Linked DNA regions of Diceros bicornis minor. The protein of the gene in region 4 interacts with the protein of the main gene of each other region in a biochemical or structural test. Links are inferred from orthologs where the notes say so. Each region holds a gene or a part of one and is shown on either strand. Other genes may lie near its edges. The genes, in order: UBE2K, SNCA, ubiquitin-conjugating enzyme E2 E1 and NEDD4L.

Region 1 (7,203 bases), on a different chromosome or scaffold from region 4:
ATTTTATTTCAGTAAATAACAAATTCACGTGACTCAAAATTCAAAAGGGATCTGCTGATGCCTGTTGCCCTAGACACCAAATCCTCCTACCAAAAGCAATCAATTTTACCAATTTCTCACTAATCTTTTCACCTATACAAATACACAGATTTCCCCCCTTCTGACACAAATGACAGCCTCCTCCACACTATTCTGCATCTTGCTTTTCACATTCGATTTATCTTGAAGCTATATTTTAATTAACTCCACACTCCAAGAATGGCCACTTACAACTTCTTATGGCCAGAATTCAGCAAATATCAGCTATCTTTTCAAAAGACTTAAAAGGTAAAAAAAAGTCCATAAATCAACCCTTCTTCTTAGTAAACACAAACATATAAAATAAACTTTGGTAAACTGGAGATTTACATAGGTGACATGATGAAATACTTGATTACTTGACCAGCCATTCAAAATACTGCATTTACATTCTTAAAAAGGAAACACATGGACTGTACTACAAGTCCTTCAATGAGTTGAAAATAACCAACATAAACCATTTATAGAACTGGGCCTACTAAAACAACGATGAAATAAAATATTGATGAAAATAGAGCTATTTATCGGTTACATTCCAAGATTAAATTATCTAACCCTCTCCTAAATGTTCTTTGCAATTTACTTTCTGGAAGAGTTTCCTTCCAGATTTATAAAGATATTGTTCTTAAAAAATAATTTGTCTGTTTGCATTTCCTGTTTCTACCTCTAAAAAACACTATGACATTTACTTGAAGCAAGGCTTCATCATCCCTAACATATTAAGAGCAGTATTATTTTAACAATATGCATTACTAGAGCAATACAAGATTTCTTTTAAGCTTCAAGTTAAGTACCAAGAATATGATGGTGAAAAGTCACCTCATATATAGCAGAGACGAATTATGAGAGCAGTAACTTGACCACTTTCAAGTAACAGAAAATAAAGCATTAGAAGTCTTATTTTAAGTTTCAGGCTTGTACAACGTTATAAGAAATGTTTTAGGCTGTTGGTAACAATATTAGCTACAACTGTCATCAAGAATATATATGTCTACTATCCTGGAATATATTTTCTTATTAAATAAGTTAGAATTATTGTTTCACTGATTATCAGCACAGACATTTATGACTCTGTTTTTGCACTGTACCACAAAAATACAAAGTCATCCTTCCATTCAGAGTTTTGGCACTTGGACAAATACAGAGGTCAGAGTTCATACACATGCTCTGTAAAACGGACCATTACTTATATACTACTACATTCAATAAATCTGTCAGTATTTGTCATTTTTCAATAATTTTAAAGAATTATTCTTTGTCTAATTGGAAAGATACATAATCACTGTAGATTCAGCAGCACAAATAAAGCTCAAGTGCTATCAAACTTATGTCAATTACTCATCACATACTTAGAATGCTGAATTTCACAAATCATTGAGATTATCAAAGTACCAACATAAGAGAAAAATACAAGTAGCAATGATACATTCAATAATGGTATGTGACATCTTGAAAAAAATAACCATTTCAGTATTACTTCTTAATCTTTGTTAAATCCAAGGAGGAAAAACAACCTGACATTATTGTTGATTTGGGTATGAAAAACTGTATTGATGCTTGCACAATTTTGAATCAAATTACTAGAACATTTTGAATATCTTATATAAATAAATGTGGTCAACGCTAGAGTATTTAAATTCTGCAGGACTCAAGAGCAGCTTGAGACAAAAAAATTTTTTTTTAATCATTTCAGATACGGTATCTTGGGATAAATCTACTCACTTAATAAAAAGATATAACAATGTATTAATCTGGTGAAATCCCATGTTTTTAATATGGCTGTTTTTCAAAAGTAAGAATCAAGTTAACTATGAGGGACATCATAATGAAGTTTCATGGCACGACACAACAGAGTCACAGAGGCATTGTCTTAGGAGAGACTCTGATCGGTAACTTGTAAACAATATTTTGAAATAAGCTACTCATATACTGTTATTTTTTCCTAGCTAAAAATATTTAAACGTTTTTAATACACCAAACAACTGGCCTTTACCCAGTCAAAAAGCTTTAGACGTCAACAGAAAAGAGGCCTAGGAATTGGGGGAAAGTGCAAATAAAATAATGCTCTAATTTGGAATTAATTTCCTATCTCAGGTGAAAATTCCCTTATTCCCCACTCAAATAAGATAGTATCCCATCATGTCTCCTCTTCTCTCCCAACATCCAACTAAGAGGGAGTAACTCTGAATGTCCTCCTCCTTTCATCAATACCTAAGGACAGGACAGTGGAGGCCAGACAGGCTATATCCCAGAATACCCTTAAAAGTGTGGGCCTTTCAGCAGCGCGGCTCTCCGGATCCAGTTACCACCTTTCCCCTTCCCCCAACCCACTTCCCGGGTTTTCTCAGGCTCGGCCTGCTCCCTCCCCACCCTACAGCCACACTCCCAGCTGTTGCCACAGCCTCGGGGCTCTCTCTAGAGCTCACATCCCGTAGAAAAGTGCCCTTCTCCATCCGCCCCCCCAAACCGGGTTCCTCTCCAGACCACCCGCCCGCGAGACCGTCCATCCCAGGGCCCTAGGAGGAGAGGGGAAAGCGGCGGAAGGAGGGGGAGACTGCCGCTTCCCCACAGGCAGAAGGGCGGCCACAAGGAGGGCGACCCGGGGGTTACCGGGAATACTGGGGTCGCCGCCGGAAGGGCCCTCCCGCCCAGGGCTGAGGTGGGGGATGTCCGGGAGTTCATTTCTGACCTCCTCGCTCTTCAGCACCTCCTTGAACTCCCGCTTGATTCGCTGCACCGCGATGTTGGCCATGTCTCCGCCCGCAGCTGATTCGTACCCGCCTCCTCCGCCACCGCTACGACCACCGCCACCGCCGCCACCGCTTCCTCCACTGCCTCCTCCCTCGGCGATTCACACCCGAGCACACGAACGCTGCCACTGCCACCCTGGCCGCCGCGCTCTCCTCAATGTAGAATCACCTCCGCGCCCGGCCACCAAAATGGCGCCGGGTCCGCGCATGCGCAAGACGCTGACCCGGCCGGGCGACGCAGCCGCTCCCGTTGTAGCCCCATACGCCTCGGCCGCGAGCCCGCGCCGCGCCGCGCCGCGCGCCACTGCCCGAGCTGCGGCCGCGTGGCTCCGCCCTGCTGGCGTCTGGGGCCAGGAGGGTGCGGCTTGCGTGCTGACCGGCTCTGCCGGGGCCTCCCGCGGCCTCTCCCGCGCCTCCGCCCATCTTCAGACCGGTGCGTTGTTGTCCGGGCTTCCAGCCCCTAGCCTCTGACCGAAGGCTCGGGTCCAACCTGACGGGTTCACGCGGCCCCACTTGTCTTGCAGCGCCGTCCTGACTCCCAGACCCAAAACTTCGAGGTTTGATGTGGCCGGCTGTGTCTAATGTACGAACACACTATCCCAGAACTCAGTCCGGCCCACTTTCTGTTGGTATAGGCCCAGAAAATCCGCTGCGGTCAGTGTTTGCTCTGAAACCATTGTAGTGTCACTATTATTATGGTCATTTAAGGTACTGCAAATCACTGAATTAAATATGGTCATTGTTGGGTCCTATCGGGTGTATTTGAGACGAGTACTCCATGAAGATGCCTGAAGTGGGTTTAGAAGCCAGATGTTGATCTTTGACCTACTTAGATAACTAATACCAAGCCGTGGAACTAAAACCATGGTTCTTAAACTTGAGTGTACATCAGAATCCCTGGAGAGCTTGTTAAAAAAACAGATTGCTGGACCCTATCCATAAAGTGTGGGGTGGGCCTAATTTACATTTCTAACAAGTTCCCAGATGCTGGCTGCTTCTGAGAACCACTGAACTAAGGCATGTGAAGGTAGTTTATGTATTAAAGTGAAAAATGGAGAAATAGTTGTTTCTTTGGGGAGAAGGGTAGCTTTGCTTCCGAAGCCTAGGGACTACAACGGTGTCTAGCGCTAGTAGGCACTCAATAAATATTGAATGAATAAATGAGTAAAGATAAAAGTAAAATGTTTTAAGAGGAAAGTAAGTTTGAAAGGCAATTGAAAAGTAGTTTCTAGGGTTTACAGTAAATAATATGGTTTTGGTGCTGAGAGGTACTTCGAATAGAACATTTTGGAATAAGTAATAAAGTTTATATTTCATGCACTTCTTTCACCTAACCCATCAGTAAAGTATCATATTAGAAAAATATCACAAATATATAGTCGTAGCAAAAATTTCTAAAATTGTGGCAGCAAAAAAGGAAATAGCCCCTGGTGTGAATCATCAGTGGAGGCACATGGCAAAGAGTTTCTTGAACTCCTGCCACGGGGACCAAGAGTGGATTTTTGATTCCAGCTCTCCACCATGCCAGCTTTCTTGGCCAACCTTGGTTTCCTCATCTGCAAAATAAGGAAGCTGGGTTAAATAGATGATGTCTTTCGAGTTTTAAGAGTTCAGAATTCTAAAGCATTATCTCGAAACATTTCGCTGAGTGGACTAACATAAATTATAAAAACCCTTCCAGCAGAGCCCCCTAGTGGTCCCAACAGGAACCAACTATATATGTGGGTCATGGTACGAGTTATTGGTATAATGTAAATCATGCAATGATACATATCTGTATTTGTGCCAGTACATTAAAAATAATTATTCTGAAGTGTGCAAAGAAACTTTTTGAGTACGTTACATTTATAACCTTCATTCAGTTCCCAGTCTTAATCTTGGAACTTCAAAGAAGCTTGCAACACTCAAATCACAGGGGGGACTGCTAAGAAGGGTATGGTAATTTCTTTGGGGAAGAGGGGTTTGGTAATTTTTAAATGCACATAATCATTGGCCCTGAAATTCTGCTTCTAGGGAGTCATTCTGCAGTCCTTCCAGAGGATGAGGCAACTGCATATTAACTGATATGAGACAATCCTGAAAATACATTTTAAGGGAAAAAAGCACTTTGCTAAATACCCAATGTGGTATCCTGGATTGGACCCTAGAACTGAAAGGACATAAACTAATGAAATCCGAATAAATTTTGTAATTTAGTTAATAGTATTGAACCAATGTTAATTTCTTAATTTTGACATGGTACTATGGTTATGTAAGATGTTGATATTAGTAGAAGTGAGTAAACAGTATACAAGAATCTCTGAAACTTTTCTGTAAATCTACAACTATTCCAAAAGAAAAAGTTTACTTTTAAAAAAGCACTATGCAGTCCATAATGTGTATAATATGCCACCGTATGCGTGAGGGAAGAAAGGAATATTCTTGTGTATATAATGCTTGTGAATCCATAAAATATCACTGGAAAAATAGTTAAGAAACTGACAACAGTGGTTGTCTCTGAGAAAGCAACTTAAGTGCCTAGGGGAAGGCAAAGTGGGAGACTTTTCACCATGTATCCTGTTGTATATTTTACCTATTCAAAACTAAATTTTTTAAAATGGGTTTCCAGTAATGCAGATTATAAGCTCTTCATTATTATGATCTAGTTCTGATTGATTACTTAATTAATTAAATATGTATTGAGTGCCTACTATGTGCCAGGCATGATCTAGACCCTGGAGGCATATCAGTGAACAAGAGACAAAAAAAACCTCTCAAGTTGTAAGATTTACATTCTGGCAGGGATGAGAAGAATTCATCTCAAATATAGTCTGCAGACACCTGGGTGTCCGTAAGATGTTTTCAGGGGTCAGTCTGCATTGCCCAAACTATTATCATTATAAAACTAAGACATTATTTGCCTTTTTACTGTGTTGACACTTGTACGAATGATGTAAAAGCATACTGAGCAAAAACAATTACTGTACTACCAATAATTTTACTAATGCCACACACTCACTATTAAAAAATGCCAGTTCCACTTCAAAATGTCTTTGATGAAGCAGTAGAAATTATTAATTTTATTAAACCTCAACTTTCAAGTACGTCTTCTTAATGGTCTATGTGATACTTGGGAAGGATACATAAGGCCTTCCACTGCATACCAAAGTACATGGTAAAGCACTTGTGCAGTTGGTTGAGTTGTGAGCTGAACTAGCCACTTTTTTCATGGAACACCATTTTTACTTAAAATAACGATTGAGACAAACTATCTTTATTAAGAGTTGGGTATTTTACAGACGTTTTATCAAAAATGAACATGTGAGCCTGTCACTTCAAGGAAAACAACTGGCAGAATTTGTTGCCAATGATAAAATTCAACCTTTCAACTGAAAATTAGTTTTCGAAAACATATCTACCACTGTAACTTGGCAACTTCTCAATACACTTAAAGACATTTCTGATTAAATTGGTGGTGATAATAACAAATGTGATTGCTTGAAATTGTACAATGAAATGTGTCAAAATTTGGAAGATCTGCATAAACCATTGAACCAATATTTTCCAAGTGACCAGTGCATGATGTTACAAAATCACGCATGGGTAAAACATCCGCTGGAGGTTCAAGACGGGCCAATGGATTTTAATGTAACAGAATACCAAAAGTTCACTGATAACATTTCAGATTCTACATTGCAACTAATCTTTACAAAACGACCATTTGTCTTGATTTAATGTAATATTAAAGAAGAATATCCACAATTATCTGAAAAAGTTATTAAAATATTCCTTCCCTTTCCAACTATATTGGAGGCTGGCTTTTCTTCATATACTTCAATAAAAACAACATATGCAACATATTGAATGCAAAAGCATATGTGAAAATCCAGCTTTGTTCTGTTAAGCTAGGTATTAAAGAGATTTTGTTTTGGAAAATACAGTTATTTTCACTAAAGATATATTACTTACATAAGCCTGTACTGAGTTTATTATAGTTATTTATTAATATTTCAATAATTTCTCAGTTTTAATTTCTAACACAATGTTGTTTAACCCACATGAACAAATGCTCTTTGGAATCCTCAATATTTTTGAAGAGTATAAAGGAGTCCTGAGTATATTTGAGTATACAGTACTGCTTAGACACGAGAGTTAAATCTAAAAAGTCACACCCTTTCAGAATACATAATTTACATAAACATTATGTATGTGAAGTTGTAAAATTGGTTTTAGATGATGAAGGAAAGTTAATCTGGTAACTCTTCTGCTGCCCCTAACAGAACAATGTGTTTTGATGTGTTGATTCACATTCAAAAAAATGCAACAAGGCGTAATAGGGCTTTGCTGACCCCTGATAATAACTGCCAACGTTCGAAATGTGCGAGTCTTCCTTTTT
Region 2 (8,005 bases), on a different chromosome or scaffold from region 4:
GCACAACATGGAAAACAGGACAAATATAAAGATACAGATGATCTGCATGTCACTGATTCAGTAGTTCAAATTCCATCTAAAAAGTTATCATTCACACTTCACAAAAACACTTGAAATTAACTCATCAATTTTCTTCCTCTTGTAAAACACTTTGATGATTTTCTGAAAAAATGTTTCAAGATAGAGAAAGAGTAATCTAACTGAAGATTTGTAAGATCAAGTCAACCTAAAAAGAGTCTATGAACAGTGAGAAAAAAACAATAAAAGAAGCATTCATAAAAATCATTCCAAGTATACCCTTTCTCCTGCCCATCTACGGTGGAGAGAGAGTGTAGCTTCCTTTCACCCCACAGACGTGGGCATAGCACCCTATGGCACGCAACGTGCCCCTCCTGCACCTTCCTGCTCATCCGGTGGCTGCTGCTGCTACAGCTGCCACCAGAGACCCTGGCAGAGCTCAGAGGAGCAGGAAGAAATAGGAGAGGCAGAATAGGCAGTGGGTGAGTGTGTGTGAGTGTATCCTTGTGGAGAGCGTGTGTATATCTGTTTGTCTATTTCTTCGCTAAAGAATTTGAAGTGGTTTGTAAAATAACATCCAACCTAACCTAACACAGTTCAAGATAAAGAAAAGATAGTCAGGGTCTGCATGAATACCCCCACGTGGGAATTTAGGAACAAGTAGAAAGGACAAGCATCAATCTCATTATTTATTGTGTGTGTCATTTAATAAAGGAGCTATATAAATGTCTCCGAGATATTAGTAGCAGCCTTCAAGCACTTTCTTGAGCTCTTAGACCCCAGCGTACCAAGTGGTCATAAGAAGTAACTCCACCAAAGACTCTTCTGTTCTTTCCTTTATAGGGTCACAGTAGGTCTCTTTTTACATATCCCAGGGCCATACCAAAGTTTAAAATAAGAATACACTAAAATTATCAAATATTATTCATGAGGACAAAAAAAACAAAGGCTCATGCACGATTTTGATTAAGAATAGTCTTGATTATTTTTAAAAGATTGAGTTCTAAAAAGTGTCCTTTGAAATATAGTCACTTAGCACAGAAACATTTATTAAAAAAACAAAGTCCTAAGTATTACTGCAAAATTAATCTGGAAAAACAAAAGATTAGCCCCACTTTTTACTATTAGCTCAAATATACACATTCACCTACCCACACATACCTCTGACTCAGTCCATCTTTTTGACAAGTGATAATACAAAAGTGAATCAAGGGAGAAATACCAGCATTTAGAGTATCAATCATCCTAACCCATCAGCCATAAATAAACATGAAAATGACATTTGGGGCTTACCTACCTACATAGAGAACTCCCTCTTTGGTCTTTCCTGCTGCCTCTGCCACACCCTGTTTGGTTTTTTCAGCAGCAGCCACAACTCCTTCCTTGGCCTTTGAAAGTCCCTTCTTGATTACATCCATGGCTAATGAATTCCTTTACACCACACCACACTGGAGAATACAAAATACACTTTGAACGAGAATTCTTGCGTAAAACAAAACGAAATTAGAAGTACCCAAGGTGAAACCCACGGAAAGATCAGTAGAACAAAAGTTCGAGACTCTTTTAAGTGCACCCTTACTTCAGCCATTGGACAAAGAAGCCTTTTTTAGCTTTTGCATTAAAAATTTAGCATCCCCCATCCATCTTGGCTGGTAAAAGTCTAGTCCCCTAAACACGGATTAGAATGAATCACCGGAGCTGTTCTAATTTTGCATTTCCTGAGTGAGTTGCATGAAAAGATGGACCCCCTCTTTCAACTTGCCAGGGTCCAAATGGTGACATTACAAGTTAGAAGTACGTTTAAAAGACACATCACAGGAAAAGAAAGGGAGCTGGAGGCATGGGGTCAGGGGCACTCTTAAAACGAATCCCAGAAAAGGGCTAACAGGTTGATCATGGAGAAGGGAGGGAAGAGAACTACTCACTCTGGGTGTGGCTGCACTTCAGGCCAACTGCAGCCCACCCGCCCTCGCTCTAATCCACCCGACCATCCATCCCCGCCCGCAGCTATCTGCTCTGAGCAGGCGCTAGTTCACACCCGCCGGCCGTCTCCAGACGCGCGCCAGCCGCCCGAGGGGGCGTTCTCAGCGCACGTGAACCCGCTACCCACCCGAACCTGCACCTGTTAACCCCTTACCACCTGTTGACTTGCCCTCTCTGCACTTCCATTTAATTATCTGCTAAACACAGCTTGTTTACTTTACAAAGAGAACCGAGAGGGCGGACTGGGATTTCAAGTAAGAGAGAAATAAAAGTTGGACGCTCTCGTTCCACCTAGCATCCTCGCGTTTCCCAAAGGAAAAGCGTATCCGGGAGAAGCCTGACCTCTCAGCCTCTGAGGACGAGAAGAGTGAAATACCGGAACAGGAGGAAAGCCAGGGCAACTTACTTTCCTCAAGCTCACCAAAGGGATAAGAACCCACCTCCGAGACTTGACACAGCGGGTCCTCACTGCAGCCCCCTCCCCCCCACCCCACCCCCGCCCCCAGGCGTCCACAATGACTCCTCTCCCACCAGGTTTTCTCCAGGATTTCCAAAGCTGCCAGTTTAGATCCACAGGTACTTACCTGAGTCGCTCCGCTCCTCAGAACTCCGATTCCCCACCCCACCCCCTCTTTAAAAACAAATTTAAACAATTTCCAAATATTATTTAAATGGGAAGAGGGAGGATAAGGAGCGGACGGGAAGGGCGGAGGCGGTACCAGGAGAGGGATTGTCCCCAGAGGAGGCTGCTGTCAGCACAACCCGGCAAAGAGAGGCTGGGGGCGTGGGAGGCGAACCCGCGAACTGTCGTCGAATTGCCACTCCTCGTCCCCCGCACGGGAGGATCCGAGAGAAAGAGACAGAGGGTCGGAGGGGAAGGCGGGGAGAGAGCGCGAAGGATGCTAAGGGCAAGGCTCGGTCCCCGGGTCTGCTCTAAAACCAGCACACACCTCACCCCGCGTCGCCGCGCTCGGTCGCTCGCCCCCTCTCGGGTCCCCTTCCCGTCGTCGTGGTCCTCCTCCTCCCCTTCCTCCTCCTCCCGCTCCTCCGCTCGCCGCCCCCGCAGCTGATTTGTCAGCGCCTCTCCCCGCCCCTCGCCCGGCGCTCGCTGCTTTCCCTGCCGCGTGCACTTCACTCCTCTTCTCGGATGGGGAGGGGGGCGGGGAGAAGGCTGTACCTCCAACTCCAGCCGCCCGCCTGGGCCTGGGAGGCGGGAAATGGGGTGTCTTGCGCTTCACTGCAAGTTCAGGGTCACGGGGACTCTTGCGGGGATCGGGAGCGGTTAGGCTTGGGCTGATGGCTCTCTCTTTCCCATCCCCCGTCCTTCCCTGTCTCCGCCTTTCCCTCTGGTTCCTCACGAGGACCCCCACGTCAGAGCCAACCTGGGGGAGTGGGGGCCTGAGGGATGGACCGCCAAAGATAGAGCCAATCTCTCGGGGAGCTGCTGAAGAAGGCAGGCAGCTCAGGAAGGATGCTCACATCGGCATCGCCAAGAGCACGTTTCCCTCGGATCGCTGAAATTTGATTAATGGTCGTAGGAGACAACGTTAAAGGTGCTTTTGTTTAAATATCTGCCAGATTTTCGTTTGCTCTTAACCTCTCATGATCCCGACGGGGTCCCGCGGGTGGGGAGGAGAGTAGCAAGGATGAGTTACAGGTTGAGAAGGCAGGAGGAGGCTCGTCAAATCCTCTTCCCACCCCACTATCACCATTTTCTTTTCCACCAATCAGCGGCTGCCAGACGCCGATTTTTCCCATCAGCGGAACGAGGAATAAATATTCCCCAGCCGTCGAAACCAAGCAGCTATATACAGCTTTTCCTTCTCGAAACGGAATTTACTTTTCAGATTCAAGTGCCTGGATGGAGGAGACAAATCCAGCGTGGTTTATTTTCCCGAACCGTCATATCCAATTCTTTCTTCCATCCCTTTTGAAAGGGAGATTCTACACACCGCTCACCTTTCTGACTTCTGATTCACGTTGCCCTCGGAGCTGACACCTAACCCCATCCCACACACAGACATACGGGCAAACGCGCGCGCGGGCTTCAAGAAAATTTTTGCATTGCTTAACATATTTTCATCTCTTTCAGAGCTGGAGGGAAAACAGCTGTTCCTGGATCACACCAGAATGGAGAACCAAGCTCCTCCCTCTAACAGAATGCCTTTGCTTTCTTTGCCTGGATTGGGAGGATGATTTTAGCCCTGGAAGGGAAAAACAAGTCTTTGCTGTATGTTTTCATTTGTTTTGCGTTTATTTTTCTTAGGAAAAAAAAATGCTGTCCCTGATCCTTGCACTCACTTGGGTTCTGAAATTTGAGTAAAATGCAATTTAAATCTACAAAACCGTTTGAAACCAAAAGGGGCAGAAAGCAACTGTCTATATTGCTTAACAACTCCTTGCACTATTGTCTGCCCTTTTTACAAGTAGCCTTTCCAAAATGCTCAGACTGTATTTTGTTTCCTTGGGATCAGAGGAAGAAGGTTAAACTGGGAACTGGTTTGCTGTCTGGCTTTGAGACCTTGAACAAGTTATGTCCTCCTGTTCCGCTTTCTTTGTAAAAGGAGAGGAACCAAGATGACCCCTCTCTGTTCAACTTTTTATTATGGAAAATGTTCAAACATATCCAAAAGTAGAGAGTAAAGGACTCTCATGTGAATGTCACTTAACATCCATGATTTTTTAATGTATGGCTGATCATGTCTTATCTATATGCCCACCCATTCCCCATTTCTTATCACTGCCCTCTCTCCATTCTTTTTCACTAAATCTCAAGAACTACATATATCTTTTCATCTGCAAATATTTAGGCATGCATCCGTAAAACATAAGAACTATTTTAAAATAATGACAATAACTTTTAGATGGTCCTTTTAAAAATTGAAATATAATTTATGTATAGTAAAATACTTAGATCATAAGTGTTCTTTTAAACGAGTTTTGAAAAATCCGTGCAACAGTGTAACCCACACCATTCTGAAGATCTAGAACGTTTTCATCATCCCTGAAAGTTCCCTTGTGCTGTCGTAGTTGTGCATATTCTAGAATTTCATAAAAATGGAATCATACAGTATGAACTTTTCTCGTATCTGTCTGGCATCTTTCATTCAGCATAATATTTGTGAAGTTCATTCATGTTGCTGCATGTATCAGTAGTTTGTTTCTTTTTATTGCTACTAATAACAAATGTTTTCCTCTGTGACCCGTCACAAATATGTACCTTGATAGATTATTATGACAATTATTTAATTATTTCATGTAACATATTTATAGTTTAACAGAGACCTTCTTGAGACCTAGTGCTTTAAATCAAAGGGGCAAATAAAAGGACAGATATTTTAAGCCCCACTGCAGACCAAAGAGAGACTTATTTTGAAGCAGTTGTTACTTTTTGTGCTTCTTATAGCATTGCACAATTCCACAGCTTTACGCTTGGTAAAGGACTAATGTACTATACCATTTAATCACAACAAGTGGGTAAGATAAGTTTTATTAGGTATCTTTTATAGACAGGGAATCTGAGGCTCAAAGAATTTTGATAACAGCTCTTGAGTGGCAGAGCTGAGATAATCTAGCAGGAACTGTTCCAAAAGGCACAATTGTCTTCTGAATTGGCGGTTACTCTCTGGAACCTTACTGATTGGGTGTAGTATAGGATGAGAGGGAAAAAGTGGGACCCAGTTCTATTAGAAATAGTTTTCGAATTTGGATGTGACAATGAAAATGAAGAATTTATGTTATTATAAAACAGTACATTCATATTTGAAATTTTGCCTTTTCTATATCGGTAATTCTCAGTAGGGGAAGATGATTTCTCACCATCCAAAAAAAAAGAAAGAAAGAACTGTGAAACAACTTTTGTCATTTTGAATTATAATTCTGTTTTACTCTTCTTTTCACACCTCAAAGTGCCTTGCACACAACAAGCATTCAATAAACTTTTAATTACTGATAGTATTAATAGCGACATTTCTTATGTTCTACCTGCAGTTTCTTAGCTCTGTATTCTTAAGGAGACAGAACTACTCAAGAACAAAGAAGGGAATTGGAAGTTAATAAATATTTTTTTTCTTGTCATCATTGATTGACAGCATGGCCTTGAGTACAGTTTTAATCCTCTGAATATGACTTTGAAGTTTAATCTCATTGAATGGCCTGTACCTCACGAGGAGGATGGAAGAATAACTTACTGGGAAGTATTACTGATGTTCACATTTTGTTAATAATTGCTATATACATGTTTGGTTTTCATTTTGATAAATGAAATATACATATTTTGCTGCTCTTCAATACTATTGTTTTATCTGGGTTTAAAATAGTAATTTAGCTATAGATTAACATTCTATGAAATGCATGATTAATATTCTATGAAATGCGTGATTAACTTAGACTCTCTTTGTCTTTCTTCTCCGTAAAATAATTGATTTTTGACGCGTGCCATGCGGTAAGCTTCTGCTGCAGAACGGAATGGTGTGAAAAATAATGAAGCTGTCCATGACCAAGTGATTTAAGAGAGGGGAAGAACTGATTTAATGTGTTTAAGTGAGGAAAATACAATCTTTACTATCTTTGGATAATATTCCGTATTCGTTGTGAACACAAGGGGCAATGTTGATTCTTGGGCCACCTGTTTCTTGTTCTCTTTCTGAACCTTCCTCTCATCTTCTGCAAATGTATGAGAAACATGCGGTAGAGAGATCTTCGTAGGCTTCTCTTGTAATTTCGTAATGGACACAGAAGGGAAAGCTTAATGCACAGTTGGGATAGCATTGTGTATGATTTTGGAAAGCAGTTAAGCTTGAAACAGGGCAATAGGGTTACCCCAAAGAGAAATGAAGAGCAATGAAGAGGGAGTATTGTTTTCAAAGAATATTCTCTAATTTGACCCTATGGGCACTTCATATTGTTTCTACAATACTATAGGCAGAAAAAATAATAGACATTTATTCCAGCACAAGGTAATTTATCATATTTACTAATACTGTAGTATAGTCTCAACAATGTAGAATGACTATATATTGTGACCACAAGAAGTATGTAATGTGAAATATGTGAAATTCAATTGGATATCATTTTAAATATCCCTGTGGTTTTTGTGGTACTAAGAATATGAAGATATGCAAGATTCCAAGGTGAAAGACTTTAAAACCAGATACGAAAGATATTTAAATGTTTTAGGATCTAAACCATTCAAATGACTTTAGTATTAGAAGGAAAAACATATTTACGAGCTCAAAAAATGCACTAAACCCTGGTGAGCGTGGGAGACTTCTGAGAGTTGGGGTACTGGGTAGAAGTTAAATGCAGGGACTTAACAAGGCTCTACTACTTGGTAGCAGTTACTGAGAGAAAGCATCCAACCTCTCTAATCTCTAGTCTTCTCATCTATAAAATGGGGGTGATATTTTATTTGTCTTGTGTGGTTGTTGTAAGGAATAAATAATATGGTTCTTAGTAAAGAACCGAGCACAGTGGAATCTCTCAATACAAGTACCCATTATTAATATCTAGCCCCCATGTTTTAGGGTGCCCTAGGAAACACTTTTTTCCTTACAGTAGTTTTCAACATTATTCCCAGCCCTCAACAACCTCCCGTCCCACTGTTAACACACCTCTAGTGTCCGATGCCTCCCCATCAATAACTTTAGCTTACTATGGTAAGTAAAAAATTTCCAACCAGGGATGGAAGTTGTGGGGACACAGGATGGGGGTAGTTAGGGAGTGTTGATAGGGGTCGTTAATTTAAAAATCTGCCAATGTCTCTTTTCTCTCCTTAATGTGTGGATTGCAATAACAACATCACTCACAGCAATTTGCTTCGGCAGGTGAAGAAATATAGTAATAGTGATAGAATTAACATTTCACTATCTTTACTGACAGTTTTACATTCTTTGGACGTGGTTTCTTCAAAGTGGCGGTAGTGGAGCTATGTATGAGTTATGTTGATTTGCCAAGGGAGAAAAATTAAATGATACAACAAATGGTGTTCCAAGTTTACCAGACT
Region 3 (7,824 bases), on a different chromosome or scaffold from region 4:
GAAAAGTCCCCCTCTGTAATTTGCTGACATAAAGCAGACTATTTTATATTTGACGCCTGTGTCTTCACCCCTAAATATATTTACGTACACCAGGGATCTCCAGCAAAATATAAAAATACAAATGACCCAAAGCAAAATCCTGCCTTAGTCAGGTAGGGCCAAAAGCTGACCCAGCATGGATGAGGGAGCCCAGACGAGACAGATTAAGGGAGGCTCCATCCAAAGTGGGCAGAGAGATGCCAGATTCTGGGAGAACCAGCACAGGGATAACCAGTGAGGGCCGTTAGGACTCCTGGGAAGCTGAGATGCAATCAAACCAACCCTCTGAAAATGAGAACAATCTTGTACAGGCATCTTGCCACTTAACTCTAGACCTCTACACTATTTAAAATAAGCTAAAGTCACTCCTTCATCCGCCCACAGTTAGGTCACCAAAGCACTTTACCAACTTTTCAAATTTCAAGTCAGCAAGAATGACAGAAAAAACTTTCAAACTCCTAATTCCAGGCTCACTACTCAGTGGAAGAGCTCTAAATCCTCATATTCCATTTTATTTTACACTTTTTTAAGAAAGATATGCCTCTCTAACCCACCATTTGGATTCCTTACTGTTTTTCTGGTTTGCCACTTCAAAGTTTAATGACTGTCCACCTTAGAGCAGGAGGATTTATGAAAGGGTATGGGGGGGGGGGACGACCCAGGAATCTGCTATAGATTATTTTAAGGGTCATGGGGATCAGAGGATATTACTGAAGGATGATGGAGATAAAAAGTAGCTTCTTCCAGAGACATATGAGGAGAAGAATAAAGAAAAAGAGCCACTGCTTAAATTCAACTTGAAAAAAATAACACTAGTATAGCATAAGAGAAGAGGAAATAGCATGAAAAAGTGAGTGTCCCTGAAATTTGGTAAATTGAAGTTCTTGAAGAAAACAAAAAAGAATCTCCAAAACAACCTAGATTAACCATTTTACATCATTTATTGATTCATTTGCCTCAACTCTCCAAATCAGAAAAATCTCTTTAAAGGCCATCCAAAAACATCTGTCTCCACCTATTAAATTTTTTACCTCCCTAGTATGAGTTATTCCTTATGCAATTTGTGGAGAAAGCTCTGTTCAAAAAAGATGTATGTGCAACAGGTGAGGAGGAAGTCAGATGGTAACAGAATTCATTTTGATCGAGTTGTCTGGGCAGGCATTAGTAATTAAGTGGGATGACAGCCTTGGGGAGGGTCACAGATTAGTGATTAATAGGACAAGTAATTTGAAATCAGATTTGGGGGTCACTGATAAAAGTAATGAGGATTTTTACAAACTTCAGCAAGAAATGGGAAGAGGCAAGCCACAACGACAGCATGTGGGCAATGATTAAAAGAAAAAAACAGAAAAAGCAATAGAGAAAAACAGTTAGGGCTTCCAAGCCCCTTTTTTCATTTTTAAGAACACATAAACCTTGAGGAGCACTTAAGCTACCCTCATTGGGAGGCCGACCAAATGCACCAAGAAGCAGTTCGGAAAATAGGAAGCCTGTGGGGGGAAAAAATAAAAAAAAAAAAAGGGAGAGAGAGTACGGTACCTCTTGGCGCTGGTGGAGAGGAGTTTGGAGTTTTTGCTCATGCTGACTTTACTCTCCTTCTTCTTGGGGGTGTTTGTTTCTTTCTCGGTTTGCTGGTTGGAGGACGAAGATGAGGAGGAGCTGGTGCTGGCCCTCGAATCGTCATCCGACATAGCGAACCCCCCACCCCACCCCGCAAACAGCCCCTGCAGGGGGAGAGAAACAAAACAGAAACACATCAACCATGCAGCCAGTGTAAATACGGAACTCGGGCGCTGTCAGGAGGGCTCTGACCAGGGGTGCACCCGGCCGCCCACCGCCCTCCACTAGCTTTTCAAAGTCTTCAGGCCCATTAAGGCTTTTGCAAGTCGGACGCGGCTTGTTTATTTTTGGCCCCAAGTGGGGGACGCGGTGGGAAAACGGTCAGGAGCACAGCGAGCGGCCCCTCCCTCGCCCCCCGGGGCTCCCCTCGGGGCAGGGAGGGGACAAGCCGAGCGGGCGGGGGAGGAGGGCAGGGCGGGGGCGCGGGCACCTCGGCGGGGCAGGGAGGGAAGGTCCCGGCCAGCGGCCGGCCTCGGGGCCGTTTCTGTCGGCTTTCCGGGGGTCGCGGGGGCCGCGGCCAGGAGCGGAGTTTGGCGAGGTCGGGAAGCGAGGAGGGCAGAGAGGAGTAAGAGAGGAAGCCGAAACGGGGGGACGGAGGCGAGGAGCGGGTGCCCGGGTGGGGGAAGGGAGAGGCCGGCGGGGGGGCAGGGGCGACAAGGCCGAGGGCCCCCCGCGCCGCGCCCCGACGCCCCTCCCCGCCGGCCTGCCCCTCGGCGACCCGGCTGGGGCTGCGCGGCCGGGGCGGGGGTCCCGGGCACACGCCCGACTGCCACCCTGGTGGGGGGGTGCGAGGGGGGCCTCGGCCTCCTGCGCGAACGAATAACAATGAGCCCGCCCGCCCCGGAGGAGTTAATCCCCGCGGGCCCCCGCCCCAGGGGAAACGGGGCTCCCCCGACTCCCCCTCCCCCGCTCCCGGCCCCCTGGGCGGCCAGTGAGGGGCTCCCGGGGCAGCGCTGACAGTTCGAGGTACAGTGCCCCCCCCGCTCCCGACACGGGCGGCCCCCGCACCCCACGCGGCCCGGGGTCCCTGCCCATCCCCCGCGGGCGGGCCCCGGACCCCTGGGGCTCCCCGGCCCCTCTCCGCCCCCCCCAGCCCCGTGCCCGGCGGCCCGGGTGGCGCGGGTCGGGGGAGGCGGCGAAGGGTGTCCCCGAGGCCCGGCGACGCGGCCGGGGGGCGGCGGGCGGCGGGGGGGATCCCCGTACCTCTCTTTGTGTCTGGCTCCTCCGTGCCGCCGCGGCGGCTGCTGCTGCGGCTGCGGCTGGGCCTGGCCACTCGTGTCTCTCTCTCGCTGGGAGAGAAGCGGAAGTGCAGCAACAGCAACTATTAAACAGGCAATGGCTTCCCCCAGCCACACACGCTCTCACACACACCACTCCTCCTCCTCCTCCTCCTCGCCCTCACCCCTCCCCCACCCGCCCGGTCCCACCCACCCGCGCTCCCCTCCCCCTACACACCTCCGGGGGGACGCGAGGAGGGCACAGGGGACCCCGGGAAACCCTGCCCCCTCCCCACCCACACCCCCACCCCAGCGCCTCCTCGGGACGCCAGGGAAGGGGGCGAGGGGTGTGAATTTCCTCTCAAGTGGTTCGGGGACCTGGATCCTGGGCTGGAGAGGGGAAGCCGTTCCAAGATGGGGGGCGCTGGGAGAGATTGGAACTGTATGGAATAGGGGGGTCACGAGAGGAAGTTCTTTCCAATAAGGGCTTTTGGAAACGGGGGGGGGATTGGTAAATTGGGGGAAAAGATGGTAATCTGGTGGCAAGGACTTTGGACTAGAGAATGCGGCGGGACCTCCTCCTAATAAGTGATCAGTTTAAGGGGAAAAAAATCCCACAACAGGATTTTCCTTTGGGTTGACACTGGCTTCTCCCTCTGGCGATTTACCTGCTAGGAGCAGAGGTCGGTTTAGGCACGCCTGTTAGAAAATCCCAAACTAGGACTTTTCTGCTCAGGCACGTGCAATTTTACAATTTTAGATTCTTCCAGTCACTTTTTATAGAAAGTGGTGGTATTTTATAAAAGGGATACAAAAGATTTCGTGACAGGTAAAACCAACGTGTAACAGGCTTACAAATGTGAGAAATCACTGGGAATAAACCTTATACTACTGAATTATGATTTAGAATTTTTGGTGTCAGCTTACTTTAGAAAGTTTGGTTTTTGGAAATTAGATTAAAAGTTTTGGGGACTTCTGTACCTTCCTCAACTACAATATCAATGCTATTCAAATAATCAATATTTTTAGGTTAATCACTCAGTAATTCCTCTGAATTGTTCCTTATTGAGCATTTTTACCAAGATTAATTTTTTTAAGATTAACCCATGAAATTATGACTTAGCTTCTCACTTATTTGTATTTCGGTTGAAGGAAACTAAAGAGGTGTGTGTAATGCCACACATACAAGGTCTGGTACATTAAGGAGACCGCCCAGTCAGATTTCCATGGGCCACTCTAAATTATCTCAAATTGCCATCCTTTTCCATGGAAACAGTGGCTTCAGTTACCACAGGAGGACACAAGATATAAAGCCCATGGCATATCCACTAACCAGGAAAACAAACATTCTTACCACCCACCTAAACCCTTCTAGCCTTCAACATGAAACTCCAACTGTATCAAGATTCATAAAGTAATTGTGCACAATTCCTGCTCAGTTCTTACTGGGAAACCTGTATCTACCAGGAATTGTCATAGAATCAAGGAGTCCAAAGCTGGAAAAAAACCTTATAGATCATCATTTCAGCCTCCTGCCTCTTACCTCCAGTCAGAGCTATCACTCAGTCACTCAAATGCACAGAAATTGTGAAAAGATCCCCAGACATAAGTGTTTGGTTTCGGGGATCCTGGTAGAGCATATATAAATAATGACACTCCCTGATGTGTGTTATTTGAAAACAACAACAAAAATCTCCTTAAAACCAGGTTGTATACTCTTTGTACTTCGGATGAAAAAGATACAAATTCAAGAGAAAGCAATGAACAAACATGAAATAAACTCAGTTGAGATGAATAAAATAAAGACAGTTATTAAAATGGAAACTTCCTCTTATGAATATTTGGGTTTCTGATACTTTAAAATACACGTCAACACTATGAGTACAACCAGTAAAAAATCATATATGTATAAAGATGAGAGCTGGCAGAGAATACAGGAAAACAAAAGAGTTGACTTGCTGTTGTGACCAGGACAGTGGGTGAATTTTTCACTAATTTTGGTTTGCATAAATTGTATACTTGGATACTAACTCTAATAATATTTTTTTTAAAAACTGAACATGGTTATTTTGTGTTTCATTGTTGATGCTTGGGTTGGACTGGTCCCTGGGGAAATAAATCGTATAACCGAAGGAGTCCTCTTCTATAGGGAACTGCTTTCCCAGCCACCAGTCTGGAAGGCTACTGGCCCTCTTGTGTGCTAGTCCTTATCTCTAACCCTGGTTAGTGCTTTATGGTTTAGGAATGACCTACTGAGGGGGAATAAAAACCTCAAAATGTTTAGAAAAGAATCCATTGCTCTCAAAAGACTAATCTTTATGTCAGATTACTTTAAATATACAGTTGTCTCAGTCACAAAAAAATCAAAATTCATTTGCAGCCTTCCAGGTCTTCTTACTTATTAACTACAAGGCCTAAGGACCTAAAGTGACCTCTCTGACCCTCAGTCTCCTCATCTATAAGGGGCAAAAATACCTGCACCGTACTGACTGGCAGAGTTGTTAGAAGGATCAAATGTGTATCTATAGTAAAATGATTAATTAACTGTTATGCAAAGTAAATTATTAATAATCCCACCCTGATCCTACTGCTCAGGAATTTTGTCAGGACACAGGGTCTTTATGACTTAGAATTGATGACAAGTGTAAGAAACCTCCTAGGAGAAAGATAAAGTCAAGGAATCACAGGATTTTATTTACTCAAAGGGGCCTAAGATATCTTGGAGTTCAAACTCCTTATGTTCCAGATGAAGAAATTAAGGCAAAGAAAGCCAGTACGTCTCATCCAAGGTCATGCAGTAAGTCGGTGGCAAAATTGTGGCTATGGCCCATGCTGCCCACAGATGATTTTGTCAGTTCTGGCAATATTTAGGGGGTGGGGAAGAGCCTCAATTACATTAAAGAAAAATATATTAAATATAAAAGAACTCCAGTAATATTTTCAAGAACATATTAACAATCAAGACAGTTGGGAAAGTGGACAAATGGAACCAAGTTAAAGGAATCACTGATTTTATAACATTTACTTGAACCAATTAATGAACAATATTGATGTTCCTTACACCTCATTCTGAGAATAATAATCATTATTTCATATTTATGGATATATTTCAAGTAGGTAATACATTCTCATGCTATATTATCCTAAAGAAACCAAAGGGTAAGCCACGAAAATCTGCCTCTGCCCCTCCCCCCAACTCTGTGGTAGTCTATGCTTGCAAAAGCAAATGCATACGTATACACTGGATGCTTTGATAGAAATGCTCAATTTACATTTAAAAGATGCATTCAGTCACAGAAGCCCAAGTGGTGCAACACTGTGATATCTGTGGGCTTTAAGAAAATGGGCTTCAGTTTTTACTAATACCTATTCCTGATCTCAAAATGATCCAACTCTCTTCTTCAAGCCATCTTGAGAGTATCAAGTGCATTTAAGTAGGAGCACTTGAAGATCAAGGTGCTGACTGATCCCTAGGTGAAGTGATACAGTTGATTCAGAAGAAAGAGACCCCATCTAACTTTTGAGCACTCCTATTTTTGGCTACTTGCTTACACTGAACTTAAATATTTCATAAAAGCAACAATCCTCTTTGGGGCCAATTTCACATCCAAAGAATTGTCAAGCAAATTAACATTTGTTAATATGGGTTTTTAAACTTACCTTATGACTGGATAGAAAGGATTTCCTTTTTCTGTCAAAAGAAAAAAAATCTTATGTTTGGAATTTAGGAAGAATTTCTGTAAAGGTTTTCTGAAAAGATGGACTCACTGTGGATTTCAATCTACTTGTTTTATTTTCTTTTTTTTTTTTTGTGAGGAAGATCAGCCCTGAGCTAACATCCATGCCAATCCTCCTCTTTTTGCTGAGGAAGACCGGCTCTGAGCTAACATCTATTGCCAATCTTCCTCCTTTTTCTCCCCAAAGCCCCAGTAGATAGTTATATGTCATAGTTGCACATCCTTCTAGTTGCTGTATGTGGGACGCGGCCTCAGCATGGCCAGAGAAGCGGTGCGTCGGTGCGCGCCTGGGATCCGAACCCGGGCCGCCAGCAGCGGAGTGCTCGCACTTAACCGCTAAGCCACGGGGCCGGCCCTTGTTTTATTTTCTGATGCTCCTTTGCCTGAAAAATTCATTCCTTATACGGAAGGATAAGGAAGGTTCGCAAAGAAGGGTCAATTCCATGAAGCCTAATGGGATCTGGGGCTTTTATCTTCAATTCGGGTCATTATTCCATAGGCCTTTTTTTAACACACTGATCTCTTTGAAGGACCCTAAGCGTTGTCAGACTTTATTTGTCCTGAAAGTTGCTATCACAGGAAGCTAGGACAGAGCTAAATTATTTTTTCTACCACATGGAGGCATTGAACAACCATGTGATTTTCAAAATTTACCAAGACTTGATAAGAGTCTAATGCTTTCTCAGGCAAGGGCAAAAAGGTTTGTTTGATGTTGACAAACGGATAATGCTTAGTATGAAAGCATTCTTCTCACCTTATAATTTAGCATCTGCTCTGTAGGGCCTATTCTCTAAACAAACCAGCCTTCTTCAGCCTCCTATACATTGATAACATAAGGACAGACTGTATTGGAATCTACTGGATTGCAGTTTGAGCAGTTTGGTTAGTCTCTGAAACCTTTTCTTGAACTTAACACTTTTTCTGTTTACTAAAATTTGGAGGAATGAAATAGTAGGGAAAAATTACTTTTATTTCACGCACTTAATTTATTGTGAAACTTTGTTTTAAATATCAACTTTCCCACAGTTCCATGGTGTGACAAATCTACAGTCAAGGATCCAGTTTTGAATCCAAAATTTACCTCAATAATTGCAACCCCAGAAGCAAGTGGCAGCAAAGATACTAATCTTGACTTGCTAAGCCTATATGACGAATTCTTTCTTTACACCCGACAGTACTCACGTCTCAGCCCCAAAACAATTAATCAACAA
Region 4 (7,083 bases):
CACAATGCTTTTCATCAACCTCCGATGAAAACACAAACTTACTTTTAAGAAATTTGCTAGCTATGGATGCCTATTTTGCTTAGACATTTATAAGGTGACTCTTCTATATGGTGATCAAAATACCTTTACGTGTGACGTTCCACAGAGCGTGAACTGAAGTGCACCTATATTTAACGCGCCTTGGAAAAACAAGCCCGCCGTTTGTCTCATCAGGCATTCTACTTTAAAAGCCTGTTAAAATCTTCTGTTTGTTTTCTTACAGAGACTAATTCAGGGAGACAAACCAAGCTGTGCAAATTCAACAATTTGTTGTTAATATTCTACGAAGGTATTCCCTGATTTTCCGAAGGGCACCCTGACAGCATGAAACCTCCCATAAAAAGCAAAGACCATAAAAATGTGCAATCATCAAAAAAGCCCTGCCTTATTTTTTTCACTGGTAGGAGAAGCTGAAAAAAAGGAAGCGAGATGTGACTTGTCTTTTGTAATATAATGGGTGTGCAACTAATGAGTGCCAGCAACATAGCAATCACTCAATCAATAAAATGTCTTCATCATCTCTTGCTAGTCCCTATTCAGCCCCAAATACCCCTCCAGCAATATGTAGGGGTGAACCCAGTCATATACAAACACAAACACACACACACACACACAGATTCTGTTCATATTCCATCCTTCACTTTTACACTAGACACCAGGTAAGATCAGTATTAACTCATCCAAAGTGGCAAGCTGCATTCTAGATAGATTCTTACACTAGTCATAAATGTAAACAAAGAACAAACAACAGACACACAGGGGATTCATTTACCCAGTTACATTTCCCAAAACACTGTAAAATATATTTCTTTCAGAAAGCTTTTAAAAATAATCATGTAATAAAAAAAAAGACCTAAGATAAAATGCAGCTGACTTCATGGCGCACAATACCTCAAGTCCTTTGTTTAGCTATGTCTGCATCTCAGCACCTTTCTAAAAGCTCACCCCTGCCCTCTACTAATTAAATGGAGAAGTAGAGAATGAAAGAGCTCCTCAAAGAGAAGCCAGGGAGAGAAGAACCCCCTGGGTAAATGAAACAATGTTACTTTTCACACATCCCCAGGTAACTGCACATAAAAGGGAAATTATTTTACACAAGCATGGCAAAATAATCGAAAATGCAAATCACACATTATTTGCATTGTGATCATTCTTTGATAAAATAAATACCACGGCAAGCTTTACCTAGAACCGTTAAGAAAAAGAGTCAATCCACCAAACACCCTCCCCACCCTAAGACACCTACTCCATTACACACTTACATAGCACACATACACATACATACACACCATACCGGAGCAGGCAAGCGGGTGACAGAGGAGCCATAACGTGGGCACGTCTCAGATAATAGCCTCTCCATTAACCCCACCCCCATCCCCACAGAAAGAGGGGGCCCGAGAAAAGAAAGAAGGAGGAAGAAGAAAGTGAAATCCAGAAATCCTTAAATTTCCAGGCACCAACTTTTCATGAAATGCACAACCAGGATAGGAAATACCTCCCTGCTGAGTAATGCTTCATAGGTTGTAAATTCACCTCTCGAAAGGGGAGCCAGACCTGAGCGCGCACCCCGCCAGATGGCAAACCCCTCCTACCTGCTCCATCCAGCCTGCCTGTCACTCCGCGCCCGCGACAGGCCCCCTACTCCCCTCTTCAGCAGAGCAACACACCAATAAGAGCCGAGCGTGGCTGGTCGAGAGAGGGCTAAGCAGTGAAATAGCAGGATCGTTTCAAAAGGGGGGAGTGGGAAACCGCGAGGAGAGTGAGGATGAAAACAAAGCCCTTTCCAGGCAAACCGACAGCCCTGGGGGCGTGGCTTACTTAATTTGCTTTATTAACAAAAAGGATCAATTGAGCTTTCGTCTCTCCACCCACCCCGGAGGTGCTGGGCTTTGAATCCTTGCGAGGAAAAAACTGGCAGGGCTGCAAGCTTCCTCCAACTTGCCAGTAGCACCTGCCACCATCCTAGACCTCCTCCCCCCACCAGAAAGACCCCGAAATCCACATTCCTGGCTTTAGACTGCAAGACAGAGGGGCAGACACACAGCTCCACGCGTTTCACCCACTCCCACGTGGCAAGCGCACACACCCAGCAGAGCACTTGCTGACACAATCATTAGAAAGTTCCAGGGGGAGACAATGCAGGTTCCTCCGCGGCCCCGGGCTCCCCCGCGCTGCGCGGGTCTCCAGCCGAGACCCAAACGTGGCACACATCATGGACTCCCGGGCTGCAGGGGCGAGAGGCGGAAAGTTGCCCAAGAGCCCCGGGAGACGCGGCTTGGAGAGGAGGGGGACACGCGGGAAGAGGGGCGCACGCGCCCTCCTCCCACCCAAAGGCGGGGAGCGGCCGAGTGAACCCCCCTGCTGGAAAGGCATCGCGCCGCTTTATTTACAAACAATGAGCTTGGCTGCGGGGGGAGGCGGCCGCAGGCGCCCGGCGGAAGGGCCGGAGCACCTCCTCCCCCGGGACTCCGCTCCCGGGCGGTCCCGCGTTTGGTGTTTCCCTACAGGCGCCGGGACGCGCGACCCAGGGGTCCTCACCCCCTGCCGGCGTGGGGCAGAAACTCCCCGGGGAGTCCGGGATAGGAAAGGGGAGCCGCTCACCTCGTCTTCCGAAAGTCCGTAGACCTGCTCCCCGAGCCCGGTCGCCATGGATCCGGCACCCCGCGCGGGATCGGAGGCGCTCGCGGGCGGCTGGGCTGCGGCGCGGGCGGCCGGGTCTTCACTCCTCCTCCAGGTCCGGCCGGCCCTGCGCGCGTCCCGCCGGGGGAGCCGCCGAGCGCCGGCAGGTGAGGGAGCCCGAGCGCGCGCGCCCCGGCCGCTGCCTGCGCCGCTTGCTCCTGGAAGGCTGCGGGGCCGGGCCGGCGGGCGGTCCCGAGAGCGCGCTGTGCAGCGGGCGGCAGCCCCGGCGCCTTTCCTGCGCGCGGCGGCGGCGCAGAGTCCGCCGGGCTTTCCCTCCTCGCGGCCCGCGCCTCCCTCCCTTCCTCCCCGCTCGCCCGCCGCTCTCCGCCCCTCTCCGAGCCTGCTCTCCGATCTCTGGAACCCGGCTCGCCACCCGCTCGCTCGCTCCCTCCAGGCCCCCGCTCTCTCCGCCCCCTCCTCCGCCTCCTCCCACCCGGCGCCCAGAGGGGACCCTCCCCGCCTCGCCGGGGCGGGCACACGCGCCCCCCAAGCCAATCACAGTCCGGGCTGGGGGGCGGGCCGCGGGCTGCGGGCCGCCGGAGCTCTGTCCCCACGCCCACCCCACCCCCCACCCCCGGCCTCCGGAGCGGCTCTTCAAGGCTCCCCCCGCCTCGGGGCGGGCCCGCCGCGGAGCGCCCGTGCGGACTTGGCTTTGGGAGCTGACCCACCTTCCTCTCCCGCTTTCGCTCTGCGTTGAGGAGGGGGCGCACTGGGCATTTGGGGGCGCTGAAGGCATTTTCCACACGCACAAAAAGAAACAGCACTCAGTCCATTCCTCTTCCCCACAGTCTTTTTACCAAGAGCCCTGAGCTCGCGGCAAGTGTTAAAGGGGGAAAGATGGATGTTTCTAGACCCCTTTAAATTCTTGGCACCCTCAGCCAAACCCGACTTAGCCGTTGTCAGCTTACCGGAGCTGATCCGCCTGGCCCGGCCGCCAGCCAGGGAGAGGCTGCCCCGGTGTGGCCGCGAGTCGCCACTGCCTCTGTCAACCTTACAGGCAACAAAACCAACACAGCGCCCGCCCTGAGTACACACCCACCCACTCGAAAACAGACAGCATGGTTCTTTAAATAAAAGGCAGCTCATTTGTGAGCCGCAACGTGAAATATCAGACTCAAGTTTAAGGTGATCCTCTGCATATGCAAACCATTAAGACGTCTTATTAGCCGCCGAAGGATTCTTCCCACATCCCAGCTACTGTTTCTCTAGCAAGTAGTTCATTTAATCTTTCAGATTTATAGGGATGATGGAAACTAAATAAGTGAAAGAAATTCGTCACTCGACTTTTTCAGGAAGACTTTCGTTAAATTGAGATGTTAAGTACAGTTGTGAGTTCAAAAAGAAAACAGAAGCAGAACATGCAATTTGCCTTTGAAAAGAAAACATCCAAGTGCCTACTTGCATATTGACAGGGTGCGTTTAGGATTTTCATTCAGGTAAATTAAGAAAGAACTCACATGATCCAAAAGAATCCTCCTGCCCAACCCAGCTACTTGACTAAATTATCCGCTGTTTGCCCAGCTAGACTGTTTGCAAAAGAAAAGGGGCACACCCATCCTAAACTCTCCTTTACTCCCCTACAACATTACTGTGGCTTAAAAAGTGTGCCATACGCCTAATGAGTTTCAAGACTCGGCCCCATGGAGTCAACACCCGACTCAGAAGCCTTCCTCTCTACAAATTGTGAGCCATTAAATCGACAGTACTTAGATGCCACAAAAGCCCAACTGAGAAAAAAAATCGTCTTTATGGAGATTTAAAAAGACAGGTCTCTGTTTATCCTTCCCAAGCGAAAAGTTTTTCCACCTTTTCAGACCTAGATTCTTTGTCTTTTGAGAAACAAAAGGTTTGCGCACGCGCACACAAACACGCGCGCAGGCATACACAATTCTAATACACTTTTCTTTACCCTCACTAGCCAGGCCTTTGTCAAACTTTGTACAGTTTATGGTATGGGGAAAAATGTAATAGATCTTTAAATTTTTCTAATAGAAAATTATTTCTAATTACGAAGGTCACCCCTTCTACTCCCTGGAAGTGCACAGTTCCAGGCTTTATCTTGGTTGAGGCCATATCATGTGGGAACTGCGAAGGTGTGTCCTACTTCCTCTCTCTGTCCTCTCTCCGTCGTTCCTGCTCCCACACCTCCCCCCTGCAACAGCGGGCACCTGCCTGCACTCTGGGCTTTCCCTGAGGGATGATTATTAGGAACTATAGTATGAAACCTGCCATGTGTCATTTATTGTAGGGGTTTATAAAATCGTGATCCGTAACATCTGTCAATGTCCCCTGTAAAAAGACTCAAACAAGACGTTTATTTCAGACCTATGAGGAAAAGCTTTCTTTCTTCCAAGGAACTGGTAAGATTTTGCATTGTGGATGACAAGAATTATGTCAACTGATTGTGTTTTTCTATTCGCTTTGGCCACCAGGAAACTCAGGACCAATTTTATGGCCTTAAGCCATAAAAGAACTCATAAAAAACAAAATCAATCTCCTGTGTAATTATGTACTGGCTTTCCCCCAGTGCAATGGTTTTCTACCCTGGATGTACATTGTTATCATCTGGGGGACTTTAAAATGACCCCGTGCCCAGGCGCCAGCATAGAGACTATATTTCATTGGGTCAGGGTGGGAGCACAGGCATCAGTAATTTCAGTAGCCTCCTAGGTGATGTTAATGTGCATGTAGAGTTGAGAATAGTGGCCTTGGCCAATGGTTCCCAAATTTTGCTGCACATCGAAACACCTGGGGATCTTTAAAACTACTGCTCTGTACATCCTACCCCCATATACTCTGATTTAATTGGTGGGAGGTGCCACGTGGGCATCAGGAGAACTAATCTTTTTGTATTAAAATAGCTAAGCTTTTTAAGAAACACCTTTTGAAGACTTATGTGCTGTTCATTCTATACTCTAAAATCTAATAAATTATCTGAGATATAGATACGTGAGTCCTATTTTTTCCAATCTGACAAAATGTTACTGGATACATACCCAGGTCCTTTACCAACCACACAAGAGAGGCCAAATAAAACTAGAACACCAGGCTTATGGCAAGGAAAGTTTTTATTTTGGGTGATGTCAGCCAGAAGACAAGAGCTCTCAAACTTGTCCCGTCTCCCCGAATGATGGGAGGCAAGGGGTTTTAAAGGTTGTGAGGGAGAGCATGTGCTGGGGTTTTAGGAAAGGGAGGGGGAGCATGAGGACGTGCTGGCTGGCACCTTCTCATCAGCTTGCATTTGACCTTGAAGACTGAATTTCTTTCCCTTGACTGTCTGGACTTTTCTGGTTAGTTTTCATCTTCAGCCTGTGTTTGGCCTTGTGAGACTAAATCTTGATGTCTGGACCTTGATTTCCTGGGAAAGACAGCTCACTCATATACTAAGGAGGGACAGAAAGACCTAGTTAGTTTTAAACAACAGTTGATTATGCTGAATATGCACAGCTGCAGTTAGCAAAGCTTATCTCCAAGTTTTTGCCCTCTTCTTCTAGCCCAGGGAAGATTTTTTAACCTCTTCTTGCTCGGTTTCAATCCCCATTGTCTTATGATCATTCCTCAATCTTGGGGAATGGGGGCGAAGACCGCTCTAGCTACTTCCTGCTGTAAAAGGTTGAAGATCAGGATCAGAGGAATGAAACTGTTTTACCTTTACTTGAAAATATTTTGGGCTGGCCCCATGGCTGAGCGGTTAAGTGTGCGTGCTCCGCTACTGGTGGCCCGGGTTCGGATCCCGGGCACGCACCCACGCACCGCTTCTCTGGCCATGCTGAGGCCGTGTCCCACATACAGCAACTAGAAGGATGTGCAGCTATGACATACAACAGCTATGACATACAGCTATCTACTTAGGCTTTGGGGGAAAAAAATAAATGAAATAAAAATAAACAAAAAAAATTAGAAAAAAAGAAAATATTTTGTGGTACCAGGTGGGGAGAGTGAGATATGCTTTGCATGACTAATATTTTAGTACTCTGATCAATGGCTTTGGAAGAATACTTAAGTTTACATTTTATAATTGCATAGATGACCACACAATCGCTATATGGCCACACATAGCAAAACAGACAGCCCAAATTTTAGTGTCCCCTCCATAATGGACCTCAATCCTTGGGGAATCTAGGAAAAGAAGCCTGTAAACCAATCAAGATTAGTGTTTAGAACCCCAGGTGAAATCTGATGTAGCCAAGTAGCCTGCTGCTGTTTATAGTCCAACAAATAAGGTAAGAACATTGGAGTCATTTATTACTTATCTTTAGAAGGCCGTTTTCTGAACAGCAACTTGCAGTGTGTTAGGGATTCACTTGACCATTCAGAGAAGTCAGTGTCAAGAGTATGAAGTCACCCAAGGTTTGGGTGATTCCA

The links.
Region 1: the proteins of NEDD4L (region 4) and UBE2K form a complex in vitro, tested with the Homo sapiens proteins (2 studies listed by BioGRID). The link is inferred for Diceros bicornis minor from reciprocal best matches to the Homo sapiens genes NEDD4L and UBE2K.
Region 2: of the proteins of NEDD4L (region 4) and SNCA, one has a biochemical effect on the other in vitro, tested with the Homo sapiens proteins (3 studies listed by BioGRID). The link is inferred for Diceros bicornis minor from reciprocal best matches to the Homo sapiens genes NEDD4L and SNCA.
Region 3: the proteins of NEDD4L (region 4) and ubiquitin-conjugating enzyme E2 E1 form a complex in vitro, tested with the Homo sapiens proteins (2 studies listed by BioGRID). The link is inferred for Diceros bicornis minor from reciprocal best matches to the Homo sapiens genes NEDD4L and UBE2E1.

Annotation. Positions count from the first base shown.
Region 1 is NC_080747.1:32,620,453-32,627,655, reverse strand, and holds the start of UBE2K (ubiquitin-conjugating enzyme E2 K), read right to left. Parts: upstream 3,014-7,203; 5' UTR 2,831-3,013; coding exon 2,768-2,830; intron 1-2,767. UniProt on the Homo sapiens protein: Accepts ubiquitin from the E1 complex and catalyzes its covalent attachment to other proteins. In vitro, in the presence or in the absence of BRCA1-BARD1 E3 ubiquitin-protein ligase complex, catalyzes the synthesis of 'Lys-48'-linked polyubiquitin chains.
Region 2 is NC_080747.1:73,699,776-73,707,780, forward strand, and holds the start of SNCA (alpha-synuclein), read right to left. Parts: upstream 3,011-8,005; 5' UTR 2,952-3,010; intron 1,467-2,951; 5' UTR 1,437-1,466; coding exon 1,316-1,436; intron 1-1,315. UniProt on the Homo sapiens protein: Neuronal protein that plays several roles in synaptic activity such as regulation of synaptic vesicle trafficking and subsequent neurotransmitter release.
Region 3 is NC_080741.1:28,971,225-28,979,048, reverse strand, and holds the start of ubiquitin-conjugating enzyme E2 E1, read right to left. Parts: upstream 3,014-7,824; 5' UTR 2,863-3,013; intron 1,764-2,862; 5' UTR 1,731-1,763; coding exon 1,579-1,730; intron 1-1,578. UniProt on the Homo sapiens protein: Accepts ubiquitin from the E1 complex and catalyzes its covalent attachment to other proteins. Catalyzes the covalent attachment of ISG15 to other proteins. Mediates the selective degradation of short-lived and abnormal proteins.
Region 4 is NC_080755.1:49,427,545-49,434,627, reverse strand, and holds the start of NEDD4L (E3 ubiquitin-protein ligase NEDD4-like), read right to left. Parts: upstream 3,015-7,083; 5' UTR 2,689-3,014; coding exon 2,641-2,688; intron 1-2,640. UniProt on the Homo sapiens protein: E3 ubiquitin-protein ligase that mediates the polyubiquitination of lysine and cysteine residues on target proteins and is thereby implicated in the regulation of various signaling pathways including autophagy, innate immunity or DNA repair.